Linked DNA regions of Stegostoma tigrinum. The protein of the gene in region 1 interacts with the protein of each later gene in a pairwise test. Links are inferred from orthologs where the notes say so. Each region holds a gene or a part of one and is shown in the gene's direction. Other genes may lie near its edges.

The links.
Region 2: the proteins of E3 SUMO-protein ligase ZBED1-like (region 1) and efhc1 interact in binary tests that used the Homo sapiens proteins (3 or more experiments, as listed by UniProt). The two-hybrid records come from large-scale screens. The link is inferred for Stegostoma tigrinum from reciprocal best matches to the Homo sapiens genes ZBED1 and EFHC1.
Region 3: the proteins of E3 SUMO-protein ligase ZBED1-like (region 1) and lrrc20 interact in binary tests that used the Homo sapiens proteins (3 or more experiments, as listed by UniProt). The two-hybrid records come from large-scale screens. The link is inferred for Stegostoma tigrinum from reciprocal best matches to the Homo sapiens genes ZBED1 and LRRC20.

The regions. Positions count from the first base shown.
Region 1 is NC_081359.1:101,414,701-101,421,920, reverse strand, and holds the start of E3 SUMO-protein ligase ZBED1-like, read left to right. Parts: upstream 1-4,119; 5' UTR 4,120-4,120; coding exon of another isoform or gene 4,121-4,221; intron 4,222-6,898; exon of another isoform or gene 6,899-6,921; coding exon of another isoform or gene 6,922-7,012; intron 7,013-7,220. Other genes in the region: dhrsx (dehydrogenase/reductase SDR family member on chromosome X), read left to right, coding at 4,121-4,221.
Region 2 is NC_081362.1:98,695,441-98,702,812, forward strand, and holds the start of efhc1 (EF-hand domain-containing protein 1), read left to right. Parts: upstream 1-4,280; 5' UTR 4,281-5,947; coding exon 5,948-6,010; intron 6,011-6,317; coding exon 6,318-6,539; intron 6,540-6,696; coding exon 6,697-6,984; intron 6,985-7,372. UniProt on the Homo sapiens protein: Microtubule inner protein (MIP) part of the dynein-decorated doublet microtubules (DMTs) in cilia axoneme, which is required for motile cilia beating.
Region 3 is NC_081390.1:940,843-947,861, forward strand, and holds the start of lrrc20 (leucine-rich repeat-containing protein 20), read left to right. Parts: upstream 1-3,942; 5' UTR 3,943-4,323; intron 4,324-4,570; exon of another isoform or gene 4,571-4,581; coding exon of another isoform or gene 4,582-4,613; exon of another isoform or gene 4,614-4,638; intron 4,639-7,019.

The DNA.
Region 1 (7,220 bases):
AATCCCCCTAGTCCTCACATACCATCCCACCAACCTCCGGATACAACGCATCATCCTCCGACACTTCCGCCATCTACAATCCGACCCCACCACCCAAGACATTTTTCCATCCCCACCCCTGTCTGCTTTCCGGAGAGACCACTCTCTCCGTGACTCCTTTGTCCGCTCCACACTCCCCTCCAGCCCCACCACACGCAGCACCTTCCCCTGCAACCGCAGGAAGTGCTACACTTGCCCCCACACCTCCTCCCTCACCCCCATCCCAGGCCCCAAGGTGACTTTCCATATCAAGCAGATGTTCACCTGCACATCTGCCAATTTGCTATACTGCATCCACTGTACCCGGTGTGGCTCCCTCTACATTGGGGAAACCAAGCGGAGGCTTCGGGACCGCTTTGCAGAACACCTCCGCTCGGTTCACAATAAACAACTGCACCTCCCAGTCGCAAACCATTTCCACTCCCCCTCCCATTCTTTAGATGACATGTCCATCATGGGACTCCTGCAGTGCCACAATGATGCCACCCGAAGGTTGCAGGATAAGCAACTCATATTCTGCTTGGGAACTCTGCAGCCCCATGGTATCAATGTTGACTTCACAAGCTTCAAAATCTCCCCTTCGCCCACTGCATCCCAAAACCAGCCCAGCTCGTCCCCGCCCCCTACTTCATCCCAAAACCAGCCCAGCTCGTCTCCTCCTCCTTGACTTGTTCTTCATAACATTATATTTAAGTAGCTCGTTTCAGGCAGAACTGATTGAATGGAAGTTAATGGGCTTATCTGACAGCTGTAAGAGGTAGCTCTTGGGGTATCCATAAGATGGTTGAGATAAACTCTTGTAACTCAAACATTAGCTTTGTCTGCAGCCTTATCAGTTGAGAACAGAGGCAAGGGACCACTCTCAGATTGCTCTATCACCTTGAAGTGTCATTTTCCTGTTGGCTATTTAATTGTCCAACACTGTTCAGGATTGGTTGTCCCAGGATTGCAGAACTTTCATCTGATTTGCTAGATGTGGGATCTCTGTCCAATGCATCTAATTTTGTGGTTTGTCATACAAGTAGTCCTGTGTTGTACCTTCATCGGGTTAACACCTCAGTTTTAGGTCTGCCTGGCACTGCTTTTGGCATGCTCCAACATGATCAAGTCTGCTCTCAAACTTCTGTAAGATGAACAACACAAGCTTCTCCAGTCAATGCAAGTAACTGAAGACCCTCATCTAAGGGACCAATCTTGTAAATTTTTTTCAGTTCCCTCTCCAAAGTCTTCACATCCCTGTTGAAGTGTGATCAGAATTTCATCGAAAACGGCAATGGAAGCTGAACCAGCAACTTTTGCTTAAGATTAATTTTGTTACTGTACGGTTGTGCTCTTTGCTATTTAGACACCTTGGTCCCAAAAGTTCCATGCACTTGCTCAACCTGCCCTGTGGCTCAGCCTGAATTGTTGTTTCAGGAACAAAAACAAAGTTGCTGGAAAAGCTCAGCAGGTTTGGCAGCATCTGTGAAGGGAAAAACGGAGTTAACATGTTGGATCTGGTGACCCTTCCTCAGGACTGTTCTGAGGTCACCAGACCCGAAACGTTAACTCTGTTTTTTCCTTCACCGATGCTGCCAGACCTGCTCAGCCTTTCCAGTAACTTTGTTTTTATTCCTGATTTACAGCATCTGTAGTTCTTTCGGTTTTTATTCTGAACTGTTGTTAAATATGGAAGATGGGTAATGAAGACATGAATGATATACCGGGTTAACAAAGTGTGAAGCTGGATGAACACAGCAGGTATCTTGGATTCTCCAGCATCTGCAGTTCCCATTATCAATGATATACCGGGTAATGGTTTTGGCAGTTGGCGTCGAAGTTTTAATTCTTCTTTGGAATTGAAGGAATTTTGAAGAGAATTAGGAAATTGACAAAAACCAGGGGATACCAAATGAAGTTTAGAAGTTCAGAATAAACAAATGAGTCAAATAGAACATTTTCTTCCAAAGGGGATAGATCACCGGGGAAAACCACTGAGGTTTATACAAATGAGCTCATAAGTTGCTCAGATACATATTTGGGAAGAAAAGGGATGGAAGGATATAATCAGAAGTTGTGTGGATCCAACAGATACTTACAAAAATTATTTCCTTGTTTGATCTAACACCAGCATCTAATTGGTGAAAAACCTCGGGCACATTTTTGGAATGGAGTCATAGAGTCATACAGCACAGAAACAGGCCCTTCAGTCCATGCTGAGCATAATTCCAAATTAAACTGGTCCTGCCTGCCTGCCTGCTCCTGGCCCATATCCTTCCAAACATTTCTGGGCTGTGTAATGGTTTATATACTGGCCTTACCTTGAAAATGTAGTTTCAAATCAGCTTAGATTGATAAGATAAATGTTATTTGATGGCTATGAGGATCCTCTGTAGAATGGGTTTTACACTGAACAACCATATAAAACTACACGGTGAAATATTTACCCATTCAGTGTAGGGAAACTTGAATGTCAACCTTGACAGAAGGTCACACAATTTATGCAATACTATTGTATACAGTAAAATGTAGTAGAAATGTTCTACACTGGTAGCTTCCGCACAGTGAAAAAAAATCTACGCAATAAATGTTACATACAAACCTATGCAGAAAAGAATTATCTATAACTGAAAGATTTCCAAAGGGATACATTAGTTGTATAGATTCAGTAATATTCTCACAACACAGTGTCCACCATTGACCAGTGTCTAACTCTCCCTCTCTTGTACAGTATGAATGTTGTCTACCCTTTACATTGATAATTCTTGTGAATTGTCATGATGAGTGCAAAGTGAAAAGGTTTAGCGAATGTTTTGTCATCGGATGACAGAGACGGGGATCTTGAAGGATATAAGACATACAGGAAGGACAGGTAGCTAGGAAAAAATGGAAGGTTGGCTCTGTTAGATATTGATAGCAGGAACACAATAGAGTCGAGAGCCTAAGTTCAGGATGTGGAAATAGTTTGAATGGAGATGAGAAATAATAAAGGCAAGAAAACACTTATGGGAATGGTGCACAGACAGAAGACCAATAGACAACATGATTGAAACAGATGAGATCCTGAGGGATTTTGACAAGGTCGATGTGGAGTGGATGTTGCCTCACAAAGAGAAGTGTAGGGCTGGAATATAATCAAAACTTTCAGGATCTTGAGGGAAAAATTGCTGTGAGTAAGAGAATGACATGATATTTAAAGCCTTTGTATTATCTAAAGGTAGAGAAACTTCATAGTGCTTCAGTGCTTCAAAGCGATCTGGGTGTCCTTGGGCATGGCTCACACAGAAAACTATTTTACTGGTACAGCAGGTAATAAGAAAGGCAAAAGAATTTTGGCATTAATTGCTAAAGATGTAGAGTGTAAGAGTAAGGAGGTGTTGTTGTAACTGTACAAGACATTAGTCAGACTGCAGCTGGTAATCTTCAACCCCTTACTTGAAGAGGGATGTAGTTGCATTGGAGGTAGTTTAGAGCAGGCCTACTAGATTGATTCTGGAGATGAGGGGTTTACGTTATGAAGAAAAATTGAGCAATTTATGCCCATATTTCTTGGCATTTATGAAAATGAGATGAGATCTAATTGAGGTAAAAACGATCAAAAAGCGGGTTGACAAAGCAGATGTAGAAAAGGTGTTTCTTCATTTGTGGCAATCTAGAATGACAAGTCATTATTTTAGGAGAAGGGCTACTAGATTTAAAACAGTAGGAGAAATTAGTTCTCTCAAAAGGTCTTGAATCTGTGGTATTCGCTGCTGTAGGCTGCGGTCAATACCGGGACAATGAGTAAGTTTAGAGAGGAGATAGACTGATTATTAATTAGTAATGAGTTGAAGAGTTATGGGACCAGGCAGGAAATTGCAATTCAGGCTGAAATGAGATCAGCTATGGTTGTATTAAACAGTGGAGCAGGCTTAAAGAGCTGAATTGCTTACTCCTAGTCCTAGTACTTCTGTTCATCGCAAATAATTATAAACTGAAGGAATGCAATTCTACACTGTTAAAAGTTTGTTTACAAGGCCAGAATGGTTAAGATTTATCATACCTTTAAAATGTACTTTTGAATTGGATAATTCCTAACTGTTTCCCTTATGTTTACTCATAGAGTCACAATGATGCAGAAGGAGGTAATTTGGCCTATTGGTCCATGCCGGTTCTTTACGGGGACAATCCAGTCAGTCCCAATCCCCTGTTTAGCGGATATCTGTAAGTACAACAGGTTCCTGTCAATTTAAGTGCATCAATAATGGGAATTCTGGTGGGATACTGGTGTCATTATAGATTTTGGAGGATCAGAGCAACATCCTAAATTTTGCTTTCAACTACTTTGGTATAGGCATCAGAAATCATTGTCCAATTTTACACTTTAATAATAGCGAGCACTTGTTGCTTCACTATTTTTTTGCTGCAAAATATGGGTGGATGTACATATTATGTACTAATAGACTGAACAAGGATTCACTATTAAAGTAATATAAAATCCATGAATTTGTGCTCTGACAAGTTACATGTTGAAAATCTTTTTAATACCACACATATATAAATCCTAATTGATCAGCTCTTCCAAAAGCTTTGCTATGCTAATATCATGCCTCAAAGCTTGTCACTGTAATGCTTGGAAGGCACTAAATAGTTGACCTTAATGTGATAAATACCATATCATCAAAAGTTTGGACTTGTCCATTGAACATCATAACATAAAAAAGTTTTTTTTCACTTTTCCCTTCTGTTTTGCCTCTCTCTATTCATCTCATCTTTCTTTCTCTCTCTATTTTGCTTTTTGAATGTGATATCGTGTTGAGTTAATTATCCTAATTTATGTTAATGATCAGACTCTGTGAGTAGGTTCTGAGTGAGTTAAAATCAGACCCACAGTAAAGATTCTTCAATTTGATTTAGTTGAGACAAATGTGATGTTGCTTGCATTTCCCACAAGTCTTGATTCCCATTTAGAATTTGTCGTTGTCTCTCAGGTTTTTAATTGCACCAAGTTCCAGTGCAAAAACCAGTTGAAGATCTGTGTGTGTGTGTAGGTGAAATAATCAACATTTGATGAAGTCTTTTTTCTCTTAAGTAGAGCCACAGCCTGCTTAGAATTTCTATGATAGTTATAACTTCTCATTTCTGCTTTCACCTTTATAAATATATATATTTATTTAACATCTGTTCCAACACCTCTATTTCCTTTTCATGATATAGGGATATGACAATACACAGCGCTCTGTATTTTAATTTCATTCCTCGCTAAATGAAACCTCTCCTCCACATAAATATATATCTCTTTCAGATGAGACTTAACTAAGATCCAGCCGATGTCATCTGGTGGATGTAAAAGAATCCTCAGCACCATTTCAAATTATAGCAGAGATGTTCTTCCCAGAGTCCTCACAATATTTTAAACTAGCATTGCAAAGATAGGCGAATTAGCCAATGTAAACTAGCATGTTTTTGTGTGAGCTTGTGCCTTGATTGACTGCGATGTACCCTACATTTTGCAAACTCAAAGACTGGTCCAACCCGCAGAACTGCAAACTGTTCAGGTCCCAAATGTATCTGAGACAGATCCAAACTTGGGCTGTTAGCCATTAATGTGATCTGCACTGGCTCTTGATCAGGCAACCTGTCTCCTCAAGGAGTCTGAGTTGCTGTAGCAGATGCACTTTGACTTTTATGCTGCAGTGCAGAGCCAGCAGAGGCTCCACTTTGTCTTCCTATCTTACAGCTGACTAACAGTCTTCCAGTTTTACTGCCTATAGATGGCATATGTCGGGAGGGTCTGCAGCTTGATACACAAGCTACTTTGAAGGCACTGAGAATGAACCTTCTTTTGGTGAGACTTGAACGCAGAGAGTCTGACTCAGATTCAGGGACACTAACACTGCACCAAAAGACCTCTAGCTCCCTATAATAGCGTTCAAACTTCAAAAGTGCTTCATTGGCTGTAAAGTGCTTTGGGGCCTCAGGATCATGTGATTGTGGAAGGCCAATGCAAATTTTTCAGTCACATCTAATTCAGTTACCTCTGCTTTCCTCTCCACAGATGCTGCCAGACCTGCTGAGTTTGTCCAGAAATGTCTGTTTTTATTTCAGATCTCCAGCATCCACAATGCTTTCCATTGATATATGTAATTTGTAAATAAATGTACACACACATACATACAATGCCTGGGTGAGTGCAGCCACTGCTCGGTATGTGTTGGTTTGAGTGTGAGTGCTAATGGGAACTGCAGATGCTGGAGAATCCAAGATAACAAAGTGTGAAGCTGGATGAACACAGCAGGCCAAGCAGCATCTCAGGAGCACAAAAGCTGATGTTTCGGGCCTAGACCCTTCATCAGAGAGGGGGATGGGGGGAGGGAACTGGAATAAATAGGGAGAGAGGGGGAGGTGGACTGAAGATGGAGAGAAAAGAAGATAGGTGGAGAGGAGAGTATAGGTGGGGAGGTAGGGAGGGGATAGGTCAGTCCAGGGAAGATGGACAGGTCAAGGAGGTGCAGCTTGGGGTGGGAGGAAGGGATGGGTGAGAGGAAGAACAGGTTAGGGAGGCAGAGACAGGCTGATGAAGGGTCTAGGCCCGAAACGTCAGCTTTTGTGCTCCTGAGATGCTGCTTGGCCTGCTGTGTTCATCCAGCTTCACACTTTGCTATCTTGGATTCTCCAGCATCTGCAGTTCCCATTATCACAGAGACTGGTTTTGGGATGCAGTGGGGGGGAGGGGATTTGCGTTCATCCAGCTCCACACTTTGTTATAAGATTGTTATAATGCGTTGGTTTGAGCTGTGTTGTAGGAGGAATTGGAGGTGGGACTGTTAGTGCGGCGGAACGTCTGTGCGGCTCAGTGTGTTCCACGCTGGGGGACGGTTCTCGTGCTGTACCCTCCTCGACTGCTCTCGCTCGGTTGCTGTAATGTCGCCCCTCTCCGCGTTTCTGTGGACCTACGCCGTGGGGGTGAAGGTGTTGCTCTCCCAGCTGCTCGGACGCAACTTTTTGCTGCCAGGTTAGAGAGACCGCGATTAAATTGTCCTGGTGGCTGACATTAAAATCCCAGCATTGTCTGTTCACCGGGAAACTCCGTTCCAGTGTCCTGGCTGCCTCCCCCCGCCCTTTGTAGATCCATACGCTCTGTTCAGTGTGTCTGTATATTCGTTAACCATCTCTGTAGTTCATCCGTACCTCTCCACATATCTGTCTTTCTACATTCCACC
Region 2 (7,372 bases), on another chromosome or scaffold:
TCATAATTACAAGGTAATTCTAGGTAACTATGAATGTCAAAAGATGGTACAAATGGTGTGAGTGGAGTGTTAACAGGCTGAATGGAATACATATCCATATGGGGTAAATTGGAGCTGGATACAGACACTGAGGACGGAGATGTGGCTGGAAAGATTAATTCTAATGACAAGATGTGATATTCAGCCTGTCAATGCTCCATTCACACCCTTTTGACATTCTTAATTCCCTGGAATTATCTTGCAATTATCTCTCCACTTCACCTGATGAAGGAGCAGAAATATGAAAAGCTTGTGATTTAAAATAAACCTATTAGACTATAGTCTGGTATCATGTGTCTTCTGATCTGATTCAAACCATGAAAGATGAACTTCAGTTGGAAATCCATAACCACATGGGGTAAATTGGAGCTGTAGACAGGACACTGAGGAAGGAGATGTGGCTTTGAAAGGTCATTCTAATGAACACCTTATCATACAATAAGAGGGAAATTAAAAGCAAGACTCAAAAACAATAATGGAGGTTGTATTTAGCCCCACTCCCAAACAATAGTAGTAACGTTGAGGAAGGCGTCAATCAAGAAATTGGACTTACAAGCAATTAAGTTATAGCTGTAATTAGGGGCAATTTTAATGTATATATAGAGTAGGTGAATCAAATCGGAAACAATATTACAAAGGAGGAATTCCTGCAGTATGAATGAGATGGTTTTCTGGACCAATGCATTGAAGAACCAACTAAAGAACAGGCCAGAGATAATGGGAACTGCAGATGCTGGAGAATTCCAAGATAATAAAATGTGAGGCTGGATGAACACAGCAGGCCAAGCAGCATCTCAGGTGCTCCTGAGATGCTGCTTGGCCTGCTGTGTTCATCCAGCCTCACATTTTATTATCTAAAGAACAGGCCATCCTAGGCCAGGTCTTGTGTATTGAGAAAAGCATAATTGGCAATCTAAGTGTGCAAGGCCCTTGAGGAAGAGTGATCAAAATATGATAGTATTCTTCATTAGGATGTAGAGTGACACAGTTGATTCTGAGACTAGGCCCTGAATCTAAGTAAAGGAAACTACAATGGTATGACGTTTGAGGCATCTATGATAAATTGGGGAGTGTTACTTGAAGAGATGACAGTGGATATGCAATGGCAAAAATTTAAAATGCGCAAGGAGAAACTGCAACAATTGCTCATTCCTGCCCACAAAACATATGGAAACAGTGGATAACAAGGGGAAGTGAGGGATATCATTAAATCTAAGGAAGGGGCATACAAATACAAAAAAAAGCAACAGTCTTGAAAATTGGGAGCAGTTTAAATTTCAGCAATGAGGACAAAGGGATTCATTAAGAAGTGGAATATTGAGTGTGACACCAAGTATGAGGGATACGTACAAAAAAATTAGTGAAGCCAAATGAAGATCCCTTACACTCAGAAACAGGGGATGTTAAAACGGGAAACAAAGAGATGACAGGCCAATTAAATAAATATTTTGGTTCTGTCTTCACAAAAAAAGGATTCCAATATCACTGCAAAAGTGTTGGGAAACCTGGGCTTCAATGGTAAGGAGGAAGTGAAGGAAATAAGTATTAATAGAGAAATGGTTTTGGGAAAATTGATAGGATTAAATGCCAATAAATCCCCAAGGCTCCATAATCAATATACCACAATGTTTAAGGATATGGTCCAAGGATGCATTTGTGGTCATCTTTCGAGGTTCTATAGACTCTGGAACATTACCTATGGATTGAAGGGTTTCTAATGTAACGCCACTATTTAAAAGCATAGGCAGAGGGAAAAGGAGGAGTGATAGAGGTTGCTCTGATGGTAGTAAGGAAAATGCTAGAGTTCATTATAAAAGATTTAGTAGCTGAATGCTTAGAAAATGGTGACATGATCAGATAGAGTCAGCATGGATTTATGAAAGAGAAATCATGTTTAACAAATCTACCAGAATTTTTTGAGCATCTGACCTATAGAGTTGGTAAATTAGAGCCAATGGATGGAAGATAACAAAGTGTGGAGCTGGATGAACACAGCAGGCCAAGCAGCATCTCAGGAGCACAAAAGCTGACGTTTTGGGCTGAGACTCTTCATTAAAAAGGGGAAGGGGAGAGAAATAAATAGAGAGAGAGGGGGAGGCAGACCAAAGATGGATAGAGGAGAAGATAGGTGGAGAGGACAGTATAGGTGGGGAGGGGATAGGTCAGTCCGGGGAGGACGGACAGGTCAAAGAGGCGGGATGAGGTTAGTAGGTAGGAAATGGAGGTGCGGCTTGAGGTGGGAGAAGGGGATAGGTGAGAGGAAGAACAGGTTAGGGAGGCGGGGACGAACTGGGCTCGTTCCTCTACATTGGGGAAACCAACCGGAGGCTTGGGGACCGCTTTGCAGAACACCTCCGCTCGGTTTGCAATAAACAACTGCACCTCCCAGTCGCGAACCATTTTAACTCCCCCTCCCATTCTTTAGGTGACATGTCCATCCTCAGCCTCCTGCAGTGTCACAACGATTGCACCCGAAGGTTGCAGGAACAGCAACTCATATTCCGCTTGGGAACCCTGCAGCCCAATGGTATCAATGTGGATTTCACCAGCTTCAAAATCTCCCCTTCCCCCACCGCATCCCAAAACCAGCCTAGCTCGTCCCCTCCTCTCTAACCATTCCTGCCACCTCAAGCCCCACCCCCATCTACCCACTAATGTCATCCTGCTTCCACATCCTTTTTATAATGCGGTGACCAGAACTGTACGCAATACTCCAAGTGCGGCCGCACCAGAGTTTTGTACAGCTTCACCATAACCTCTTGGCTCTGGAACTCGATCCCTCTATTAATAAAAGCTAAAACACTGTATGCCTTCTCAACAGCCCTGTCAACCTGGGTGGCAACTTTCAAGGATCTGTGTACGTGGACACCGAGATCTCTCTGCTCATCTACACTACCAAGAATCTTACCATTAGCCCAGTACTTTGCCTTCTGGTTACTCCTACCAAAGTGCATCACCTCACATTTGTCTGCATTAAACTCCATTTGCCACCTCTCAGCCCAGCTCTGCAGCTTATCTATGTCTCTTAGCAATTGTTATCCATTTGTGGAATCCCATTTAATGTTGGAAAATATGTTCTGAGTTTTGCATGCACAGTCTGGTGGAGTACAGTCAGCAGTTTACCTGTTGCAGACGGACAAGGGGACAAGCTGTTTGATATAATCCTTCACTTGTTTGGATTTAACAGCCTACATATCTGCCAATCACAACAGCACTGGATCTCATATGCCCAATTACTCAATTGCATGGAATGCAGAACAACATTTTGGCTCATCAGCAACATTGTGTTAGTGGTGAACAGTTCCCTTGTTGTTTCTGCTTAGGAGCAGAAATAAATGGCTAATGCCATCTGATGCTCAAAATTAATACCATACCCTTCCAACATAATCTGAGGCTGACTGAGCACTTTTCTGGATCAAAAATACAGTCTTAGGTATTTGGGAATTCTTAGTGATCAGGAATAATTAGGAATTGGGAATATTTTAGAAAAGGGAATCAGGAATTATTGGGATCAAGAATATTTGGGTATCAGGAATAATTGGGAACATTTGGGGATTGGGAATATTTTGGGGTCAAGAATACTTTGATTAATGGGAATTGGATACATTGATAAATGGGAATATTTAGGAATTAGGAACTTTGGGGGAATTTGGGATATTTAGGGAACAGGAGTGTATGGGAATTGAGAATGATTGGAGATTGGAAATTGGAAACATTTGGGAATTATCAATACTTGGTACATTTGGGAAATGGAATACTTGGGGACTAGGACTGATTGGAATTGGAAATAGAAGTTGGGAGTTGCTATTGGGAAATTGGAATTGGCACTATTTGGGAACTGGGAATTGTTTGGAATTGGGAATGATTGAGGATGAGGAATATTTGGGAAATGAAAATTGGAAATGATTGAGGATTGGGAATATTTAGGAAATGAGGATTGTTGGGAATTGGAAATGATTGAGAATTTCGATTATTTGGGAGATGGGAATTGGGAATGATTGAGGATTGGGAATATTTGGGAAATGGGGATTGTTGGGAATTGGGAATGAGTGAGGATTGGGCACATTTGGGAGATGGGGTTTGTTGGGAATAGGAAATGATTGAGGATTGGGAATATTTGGGAGATGGGAATGTGGTTAAAAACAAGGAGAAAAGCGACTCCGATTCTCAGCCAATCCGCCCTCGGATTGACGTGTTGCCGAGTGAGCCTGGCTTGTTTACTGTTTCCATAGAAACAGATTCGGAGCTAAACCGAGAAGAAAAAACCGGTTATCACCGAGAGAGACAGAGTGTGTGTGTGTGGGTGAGAGAGAGAGAGACAGAGTGTGTGTGGGTGACAGAGAGAGACCGAGTGTGTGTGGGTGAGAGAGAGAGAGACAGAGTGTGTGTGGGTGAGAGACAGAGAGAGAGACAGAGTGTGTGTGGGTGAGAGACAGAGAGAGAGAGTGTGTGTGGGTGAGAGACAGAGAGACAGTGTGAGTGGGTGAGAGAGAGACACAGAGAGACAGAGTGTGTGTGGGTGACAGAGAGACACAGAGAGACAGAGTGTGTGTGGGTGAGAGAGAGAGAGACAGAGTGTGTGTGGGTGACAGAGAGACACAGAGAGACAGAGTGTGTGTGGGTGACAGAGAGAGCCAGAGTGTGTGTGGGTGAGAGAGAGAGAGACAGAGTGTGTGTGGGTGAGAGAGAGACACACAGAGTGTGTGTGGGTGACAGAGAAACACAGACAGAGACAGAGTGTGTGTGGGTGAGAGAGAGAGACAGAGTGTGTGTGGGTGACAGACACAGAAAGAGACAGTGTGTGTGGGTGAGAGAGAGACACAGAGAGAGACAGAGTGTGTGTGGGTGAGAGAGAGAGAGAGACACAGAGAGAGACAGTGTGTGTGGGTGAGAGAGAGACACACAGAGTGTGTGTGGGTGACAGAGGCAGAGAGAGAGAGACACTGTGTGTGGGAGAGAGACAGAGTGTGTGTGTGAGAGAGACAGAGAGAGAGAGAGACAGAGTGTGTATGAGAGAGAGAGAGACACACACAGAGAGTGTGCGAGAGACAGAGACACAGAGAGAGAGAGAGACACAGAGAGAGAGACAGAGTATGTGTGTGAGAGAGAGACAGAGTGTGTGTGTGTGAGAGAGAGATAGAGTGTGTGTGTGAGAGAGAGAGAGAGACAGAGTGTGTGTGTGTGTGTGTGTGTGAGAGAGAGACAGATAGAGAGAGACACACAGAGTGTGTGCAAGAGGCAGAGAGACACAGAGAGAGGGAGACAGAGTGTGTGTGCGAGAGAGGGAGAGACACAGTGTGTGTTGTCTGTGTGTGCGAGAGAGAGATACAGAGAGAGGGACGGAGTGTGTGTGTGTGTGTGTGTGTGTGTGTGTGTGTGTGTGAGAGAGAGAGAGACGGAGTGTGTGTGTGAGAGAGAGACACACACATACGCAGACACACACATACAGAAAGACAGTTTTGTGTGCATGAGAGAGGGATAGAGGGACACAGAGAGAGAGAGAGACAGTGTGTGTGAGTGTGTGTGAGAGAGACAGAGAGACACAGACAGAGGGACAGAGTGTGTGTGTGAGAGAGAGAGACACACAGAGTGAGAGTGTGAGAGAGAGAGACGCAGAGACAGGGAGACTGTGTGTGTGTGTGTGTGTGTGTGTGTGAGAGAGAGAGACAGAGAGACCCACAGACAGGAGAGAGAGTGTGTGTGTGAGAGAGAGAGAGAGAGACAGGGTGTGTGCACAAGAGAGATACAGAGTGTGTATGTGACAGAGTGAGTGAGAGAAAGTAGGAGAGAAAGGGGTGTGTGTGTGTGTGTGCGAGAGAGAAAAAAGAAGAGAGACAGAGAGATAGAGTGTGAGACAGAGATAGATTGTGTTGAAGGAGAGGGAGAATTGCCAGCCAGGGCAGAGGCAATGTCCTGCTATCCTGTGCGGGGGCTCCCACTCCTCCCAGGCAATACTTTCCGGGACCCCACGGTGAGAGGGACATCGGGGGGGGGGGGGGGGTCATTGGAGGAGGGAGATGGGTAATGGAGAGATAGAGTATCAGGGAGAGAGAGAAAGAGACGGGGTTATTGGAGGGAGAGAGAAGCAGACGGTGAGGGTGAAGAGCATCGATGAAGGAATGGGCCGAATGGATTAATCCTGCTCCTATATCTCATTGGGTTTTTGAGGAAAGAATGCAAATGAGGCATGGAGAAGATGGCGAGTTAGGGATTATCTTTAAAAAGGAATGAATTACTTGTTCCTGTTTTGATAATTCTATCATTCTAATTGTCTTTAGAAGTCTAACTTCCATCGATCACAGACTTTCTTCTACAAGAACGGCATTGCTGTCCCTGTTGTGCCCAAGGTTGGGATTGGTGGGGAACCAATCCATGTCAATCAGCTGTCTCTGTCTGATGTGGATGAATTGGCTAATAAAAAACCAACATTAACCTATGGCCAGGCCAAACAGGCCCCACCAGCAGATTTCGTTCCTGGGCACGTGGCTTTTGATAAGAAGGTAATGTTTTTGTAATTTGTTCAACATTCGCCCGCTGAACATATTTTCTATTGCCCCCCCTCTCACGGACCATGCCTTCTCCCTCAATCACATGTCCTGCCTCCCATCACCCACATTGTATTCTTTCAGTGAAAGTGTTCTCTCAATTTTTAACCAGGTGTTGAAATTTGACGGATATTTCAAGGAAACAGTTCACGAATCCCCATATGAATATTATCGGGTTCGACCGATCATCCTGTACTATTACCTGGAGGATGACAGTATTTCCATTCATGAGCCAGAAGTGGATAACTCTGGACTAACTCAGGGCAAACTGATCAACAGACAGCGACTCCCCAAGAATGACCAAGGAGATTGCTGGCATTGGAAGGACCTCAATGTCGCCATGGAGGTGGTGGCATATGGAAAGCGATACCGCCTCACTAGCTGTGACAAATTTACATGTGTAAGTTGGCCTTTCACAAACATTATATCATCTTATAAATATGCAAATATAAGGATCAAGAGTCGGCCACTCGGCCCTTTGAGCCTGATATACAATTCAATAAGTTGGTGGCTAATCTGATTTTAATCTCAGCTCTACATTCCTATATATCCTGATGTTCCTTGGTAATCAATAATCTATTTAACCCTTTAGAATTAAGATTCGAATCAGATTTTATTGAAATAACTATGCAGAGACTGCTATGCTGTCACCAAGTCACCTTTTATTTACATGTGCACAATACACTGGCTGTGACGAGCCAGCTCAGAGTTGTTCCCTGAAGTCAGGAGAGTCTCTAATTCCCCTGTTTATATCTGTCAGTTGGGGCTCTCTGATTGGCCCAATTAAG
Region 3 (7,019 bases), on another chromosome or scaffold:
CCCTGCAATTGAAATCAAACTTACTGGTCTGTACTTCTCCATTCTCCCTCTTCCTCCCTTCTTAAATAGTGGGATTACATTTGCTGCCTTCCAATCAGCAGGATAATCCCAGAGTCTAAAGAAATCTGAAAAATAACAGCAACACATGCACTATCTATACAGCTAAGATAATAAGGTGTAGAGCTGGATGAACACAGCAGGCCAAGCAACATCAGAGGAGCAGGAAAGCTGACATTTCGGGCCGAGACCCTTCTTCAGAAATGGGGGAGGGGAAGGGGATTCTGAAATAAATAGGGAGGGGTGGAGGTAGATAGAAGATGGATAGAGGAGAAGATACATGGAACAGAGACAGACCGGTCGAGCAGTTTCAAGGTCGAAGAGATTACGATAGAGTTGCAGCGGGAGAGAGATCCACTGAGGTTTTTCTGGAGGGAGGACGGTAACAACTTTAGGGTAGGCATCCTTAGAAGAGGTTTCGCAGTGGGGTTCAAGAGATAGTAGGAACTGCAGATGCTGGAGAATCTGAGATAGCAAGGTGTAGAACTGGATGCACACAACAGGGCCAAACAGCATCAGAGGAGCAGGAAGGCTGACGTTTTGGACCTGGACACTATTTATTTCAGAACCCCCTTCCCCTCCCCCATTTCTGAAGAAGGGTCTAGGCCCAAAACGTCAGCCTTCCTGCTCCTCTGATGCTGTTTGGCATGCTGTGTTCATCCCGCCCCACACTTTGTTATCTCAGATTCTCCAGCATCTGCAGTTCCTACTATCTCTTAAACAATTTTAACCCCAGTGCGAAGCCTCTTTTAAGGATGCCTATCTTGAAGCAGTTACCCTCCTCCCTCCGGAAAAGCCTCAGTGGATCTCTCTCCCACTGCAACTCTCTCGTATCCATCTTATATCCGCCTTCCCCTCTGTCCCTATTTATTTCAGAACCCCCTTCCCCATTTCTGAAGAAGGGTCTAGGCCTGAAACGTCAGCCTTCCTGCTCCTATGATGCTGCTTGGCCTGCTGTGTTCATCCAGCTCTACACCTTGTTATCTCAGATTCTCCAGCATCTGCAGTTCCTACTATCTCTTAAACTATCTATATAGCTACTTTGTTAAGCACTCTGGGGCAAAGCTCAGAGAGAGTAGGAACTGCCGACGCTGGAGCCTGAGATAACAAGGTGTGGAGCTGGAGGAACACAGCAGGCCAGGCAGCATCAGAGGAGCAGGAAAGCTTACATTTCTCTGAAAAAGGGTCCAGGCCGAAACATCAACTTTCCTGCTCCTCTGATGCTATCTGGCCTGCCGTGTTCCTCTAGCTCCACACCTTGTTATCTGGGGTAAAGCTCATCTGATCCTGGAAATTTATCAACAATTTTTCCCTCTTTCCCTCAGTCTCCCTCTTCCTCATTTATCACTTTCTCTTCAGCTAATTTTTCTCTCCCTTCCTCCAATTTCCTTTTCCCAGTCATGCACTCACCTCCTGTCTGCACCTCTCTCTTCCTGCCCCTCTCCAGTCTCTGTCTTTCTTCTCCCCCCTACCCAATCTCTGTCTTTTTCCTTCTTCTTCCCATTTCTCTCTCACATATTCCCCCAGTCTCTGGAAGATATAAAAAAAACCAAAGGGTCACCGGACCTGAAACATTAACTGTTTTTTCCTTCACAGATATTGCCAGACCTGCTGAGTTTTTCCAGCAACTTCTGTTTTTATTCCTGATTTACAGCATCCACAGTTCCTTCGGTTTTTATCTCGAAAATAGATATCCTCCTATCCCAAGGACTTTCCCCTCCGGTGATTAAAAATGTCCTCAGCCACATCTCTTGCATTTCCTGCTCTACTGACCTCAAACCGCACAGAACAAACATAAAGACAGAATTCCCCTTGTCCTCACATATCACCCCATCAACCTCCACATCTAGCACATCATCCGCCACTTCCACCATGTACAATCCGACTCCAAAACCAAAAAGATATTTTCCTCCCTACTCCTATCTGCCTTTCGTAGGGACCGCTCACTCCGGGAATCCCTCATCCACTCCGCTCTCCCCACTAACCCCCCAGTCTCTATTTCCTGCTCAGTCTCTCTCCCCACTCCACCACAGTCTCTCTTTCACCCAATCTCTCATTCCTGCCCCCCAGTCTCTCCCCCACCAACCCCACCGCAGTCTCTCTTTCCCCCACCCTCCCCTTCCCCCCCGATCTCTTCCCCACCCCACCCTCCCCTCCCCCCCCGATCTCTTCCCCACCCCACCCTCCCCTCCCCCCCCGATCTCTTCCCCACCCCACCCTCCCCTCCCCCCCCGATCTCTTCCCCACCCCACCCTCCCCTCCCCCCCCGATCTCTTCCCCACCCCACCCTCCCCTCCCCCCCCGATCTCTTCCCCACCCCACCCTCCCCTCCCCCCCCCGATCTCTTCCCCACCCCACCCTCCCCTCCCCCCCGATCTCTCCCCCCCCACCCTCCCCTCCCCCCCGATCTCTTCCCCACTCCACCCTCCCCTCCCCCCCGATCTCTCCCCCCTCACCCTCCCCTCCCCCCCCAATCTCTTCCCCACCCCACCCTCCCCTCCCCCAGTCTCTCCCCCACCCCACCCCACTCTCCCCTCCCCCAGTCTCTCCCCCACCCCACCCCACCCTCCCCTCCCCCCAGTCTCTCCCTAACCCCACCCTCCCCTCCCCCCAGTCTCTCCCTAACCCCACCCTCCCCTCCCCCAGTCTCTCCCCCACCCCACCCCACTCTCCCCTCCCCCAGTCTCTCCCCCACCCCACCCCACTCTCCCCTCCCCCAGTCTCTCCCCCACCCCACTCTCCCCTACCCCACCCCACTCTCCCCTCCCCAGTCTCTCCCCCACCCCACCCCACCCCACTCTCCCCCACCCCACCCCACTCTCCCCTCCCATCTCTCCCCCACCCCACGCTCCCCTCTCCCCCCAGTCTCTCCCTAACCCCACCCTCCCCTCCCCCCAGTCTCTCCCTAACCCCACCCTCCCCTCCCCCAGTCTCTCCCTAACCCCACCCTCCCCTCCCCCAGTCTCTCCCCCACCCCACCCCACTCTCCCCTCCCCCAGTCTCTCCCCCACCCCACCCCACCCTCCCCTCCCCCCAGTCTCTCCCTAACCCCACCCTCCCCTCCCCCCAGTCTCTCCCTAACCCCACCCTCCCCTCCCCCAGTCTCTCCCCCACCCCACCCCACTCTCCCCTCCCCCAGTCTCTCCCCCACCCCACCCCACTCTCCCCTCCCCCAGTCTCTCCCCCACCCCACTCTCCCCTACCCCACCCCACTCTCCCCTCCCCAGTCTCTCCCCCACCCCACCCCACCCCACTCTCCCCCACCCCACCCCACTCTCCCCTCCCCAGTCTCTCCCCCACCCCACCCCACCCCACTCTCCCCCACCCCACCCCACTCTCCCCTCCCCAGTCTCTCCCCCACCCCACCCCACCCCACTCTCCCCCACCCCACCCCACTCTCCCCTCCCATCTCTCCCCCACCCCACGCTCCCCTCTCCCCCCAGTCTCTCCCTAACCCCACCCTCCCCTCCCCCCAGTCTCTCCCTAACCCCACCCTCCCCTCCCCCAGTCTCTCCCCCACCCCACCCCTCTCCCCTCCCCCAGTCTCTCCCCCACCCCACCCCACTCTCCCCTCCCCCAGTCTCTCCCCCCCCCACCCCACTCTCCCCTCCCCAGTCTCTCCCCCCCCCACCCCACTCTCCCCTCCCCAGTCTCTCCCCCCCCACCCCACTCTCCCCTCCCCAGTCTCTCCCCCCCCACCCCACCCTCCCCTCCCCCCCCACCCCACCCTCCCCTCCCCCCCCACCCCACCCTCCCCTCCCCCCCAGTCTCTCCCCCACCCCACCCTCCCCTCCCCCCCAGTCTCTCCCCCACCCCACCCTCCCCTCCCCCCAGTCTCTCCCCCACCCCAGTCTCTCCCCTACCCCACCCTCCCCTCCCCTGTCTCTCCCTCACGACACCGTCCCCTTCCCTGTCTCTCCCCCAATCCTCTTCAGTGATTCTCCCTCATCTCCAGTCTCTTTCCCCCTCACTCCCCATCTCTCCCAGCCCCCGTCTCCGTCTCCCCCCCCCCGCGACTTCTTCTCTCTTCTTCCCTTTCACTTTCCTCCTTTTTCTTTCTCGCTCCCTGGTCATTCTCTCTGTTTATTTGCTGATTTCCCTCCCTCATTCCGCCATTACTCTCTATCCCTCTTTAGATTAATTTCTCTTTTCCGCCTTCTCTCTCTCTCTCGGAGCTCAGTTCCTGAAGGCCATTGTCCCTGGCCTGGGCCTCGCGTTCTCCCTTTCCCTCTTGGGGCTCCAGGCTGACGGTGACCCCGGCTTCAGGTAAGTGCCAGGGCCCGGGATACAAAGTGTCCAAGTCCGCGAGAGAGAAACATTGTTTCCGCAGGAGACGGACAGAAAAGTAGAGACCGACAGAGAAGGCTATACATACTCACTGTACGCACTCTCATTTACTGATTACCCTCACTGTACTCAACCTCTCACTGCATACCCTCACTGTACGCAACCTCACACTACACCCTCAATCACTGCATACCCTCCTACCTGTAAACCCTCACTGCACACTTACCAAATACATACCCATTGTTCACCCTCGCTGTGCACTCAACCATTGAACACCCTTGCCCACTGGAAACACACTTACTCACTGTACAAACACTAGCTAATTCTACCCCCATTGTGCACCCTGCCTCCCTTGTACACACTCACAGCAGTTCAGTTCGCAGTAACAGTTGGTGATTTTTGTGCTGAGGGACCATTGCAATGCCAGAGGGTCAGTACTGAGAAAGTACTGCATTGTTGCAGAGTCCGTACTGAGGCAGTACTACACTGTTGAAGGGTCAGTACTGAGCAAGTGCCACATAGTCAGGGGGTCAGTACTGAGGGAGTCGTGCACTGTTGAAGGGTCAATATTGAGAAAGTACTGCACTCTCGGATTGTTAGTACCGAGGGAGTGATGCACCATCGGATGTTTAGTACAGAGGAAGTGCCGCATTGTCAGAGGATCAGTAATGAGCGAATTCTCCATTGTTGGAGGTGCCTTCTTTCAGATAAGATGTTTGATGTAGGTTTCTTGTACTTTTGTTGGGTAGATGCAAGAGATTCCATGGCAATATTTGAGAATGGAAAGATACTTTAATCCATGAAACAACATCATAGAAACTGATAGGCTGGTTAGTAATACATTGTTGTTTGTGGAAGCTTGCTGTGCACGAATTGGTAGCTGCACTTCCTGCAGCTCAACAGTCTGGAGACATTCCACTCCCAAGCATCCTGGATGTCTGCCTCTTTCAAATAATGCTCTTTTTGCTCCCCTGTCATCCAGAGAGCCCTCCACCGCACCTGCTCCATTTTAGCTTTTATTAATAGAGGGATCGAGTTCCGGAACCAAGAAGTTATGGTGAAGCTGTACAAAACTCTGGTGCGGCCGCATGTGGAGTATTGTGTACAGTTCTGGTCACCGCATTATAAGAAGGATGTTTAAGCTTTGGAAAGGATGCAGAGGAGATTTACTAGGATGTTGCCTGGTATGGAGGGAAGGTCTTACAAGGAAAGGCTGAGGGACTTGAGGCTGTTTTCATTAGAGAGAAGAAGGTTGAGAGGTGACTTAATTGAAACATATAAAATAATCAGAGGGTTAGATAGGGTGGATAGGGAGAGCCTTTTTCCTAGGATGGTGACGGCGAGCACGAGGGGGCATAGCTTTAAATTGAGGGGTGAAAGATATAGGACAGATGTCAGAGGTAGTAGTTTCTTTACTCAGAGAGTGGTAAGGGAATGGAATGCTTTGCCTGCAACGGTAGTAGATTCACCAACTTTAGGTACATTTAAGTCGTCATTGGATAAGCATATGGACGTACATGCAATAGTGTAGGTTAGATGGGCTTGAGATCGATATGACAGGTCGGCACAACAGCGAGGGCCGAAGGGCCTGTACTGTGCTGTAATGTTCCTATGTTCTATTTCCACTACACAGCTCTTAACCACCCCTACCTCCAAACATAAGAAAGGTAGGGTCCCCCTTGTCATCATTTTCTACCCCATTAGCCTCTGCATCTAATGTATCATTCTCAAACGCTTTTGCCAATTCCAATTCGACCCCACCACTCAGAACATCTTCCACCCCCCATCCTTCTCTGCCTTCCACAAGGACCATTCCCTTTGCCACTCCTTAATTTGCACCACACTCCCTACCAACCACTCCAACCATCTGGTACCTTCCTCTGTAACTGTAAAAGATGCAACACCTGCCCACACACCACCTCCCTCATCTCCATTTGGGGCCCTAAACAGTCCTTTCAAGTGAGACAGAACTTCACTTGCATCTCCTCCAACCTAGCCTATTGCATCTGGTGTTCCCGATGTGTCTTCACTGCGTCGGTGAGACCAAATGTATACTAGGTGATTGCTTCGCCGAGCATCTTTATCTGGCCTGTAACAGCCAACCTTATCTCCTGGTCACTGTCCATTTCAACCCCCCACCCACTCCGTCTCTGACATGTCCATCCTTGACCTCCTCCAGTGTTGCAGCGACTCAGAACACAAATTTGAAGAACAACATCTCACCTTCTGCTTGGGCACCCTATCGACTGGAAGACTCAACATTGGCCTCCAATTTCAAATAACCTTCTCATCCATTCGCCAGCTCCCTTTCCAGCCTGACCTCCTCCCTTCCATTCCACCTTCTGACCCTTCCTTCCAGCCAACAACTGGATTCATCCCTCTCATTGACCAACCAGGTCCTATGGACTACCAGTGTCCACCTATCACCACCATTCCACGACACCCCTCCCCCAACTCCTGCCACTTTATCTGCAGCTCCTCCTACCCCCACATCCAGTCCTGAAGAAGGGTAATACCTAAAATGATGACTTCTCCTTTCCTCCAGATACTGCCTGGCTTGCTGTGTTCTTCTTGCCTCCTGTTGTCTACCTTTAAAAATATTTAATTGGCCCATGACCAGATTTGAAGGGAAGGTGATAGCCTAGAATGATTGTTGTGAGACTGTTAAGCCAGAG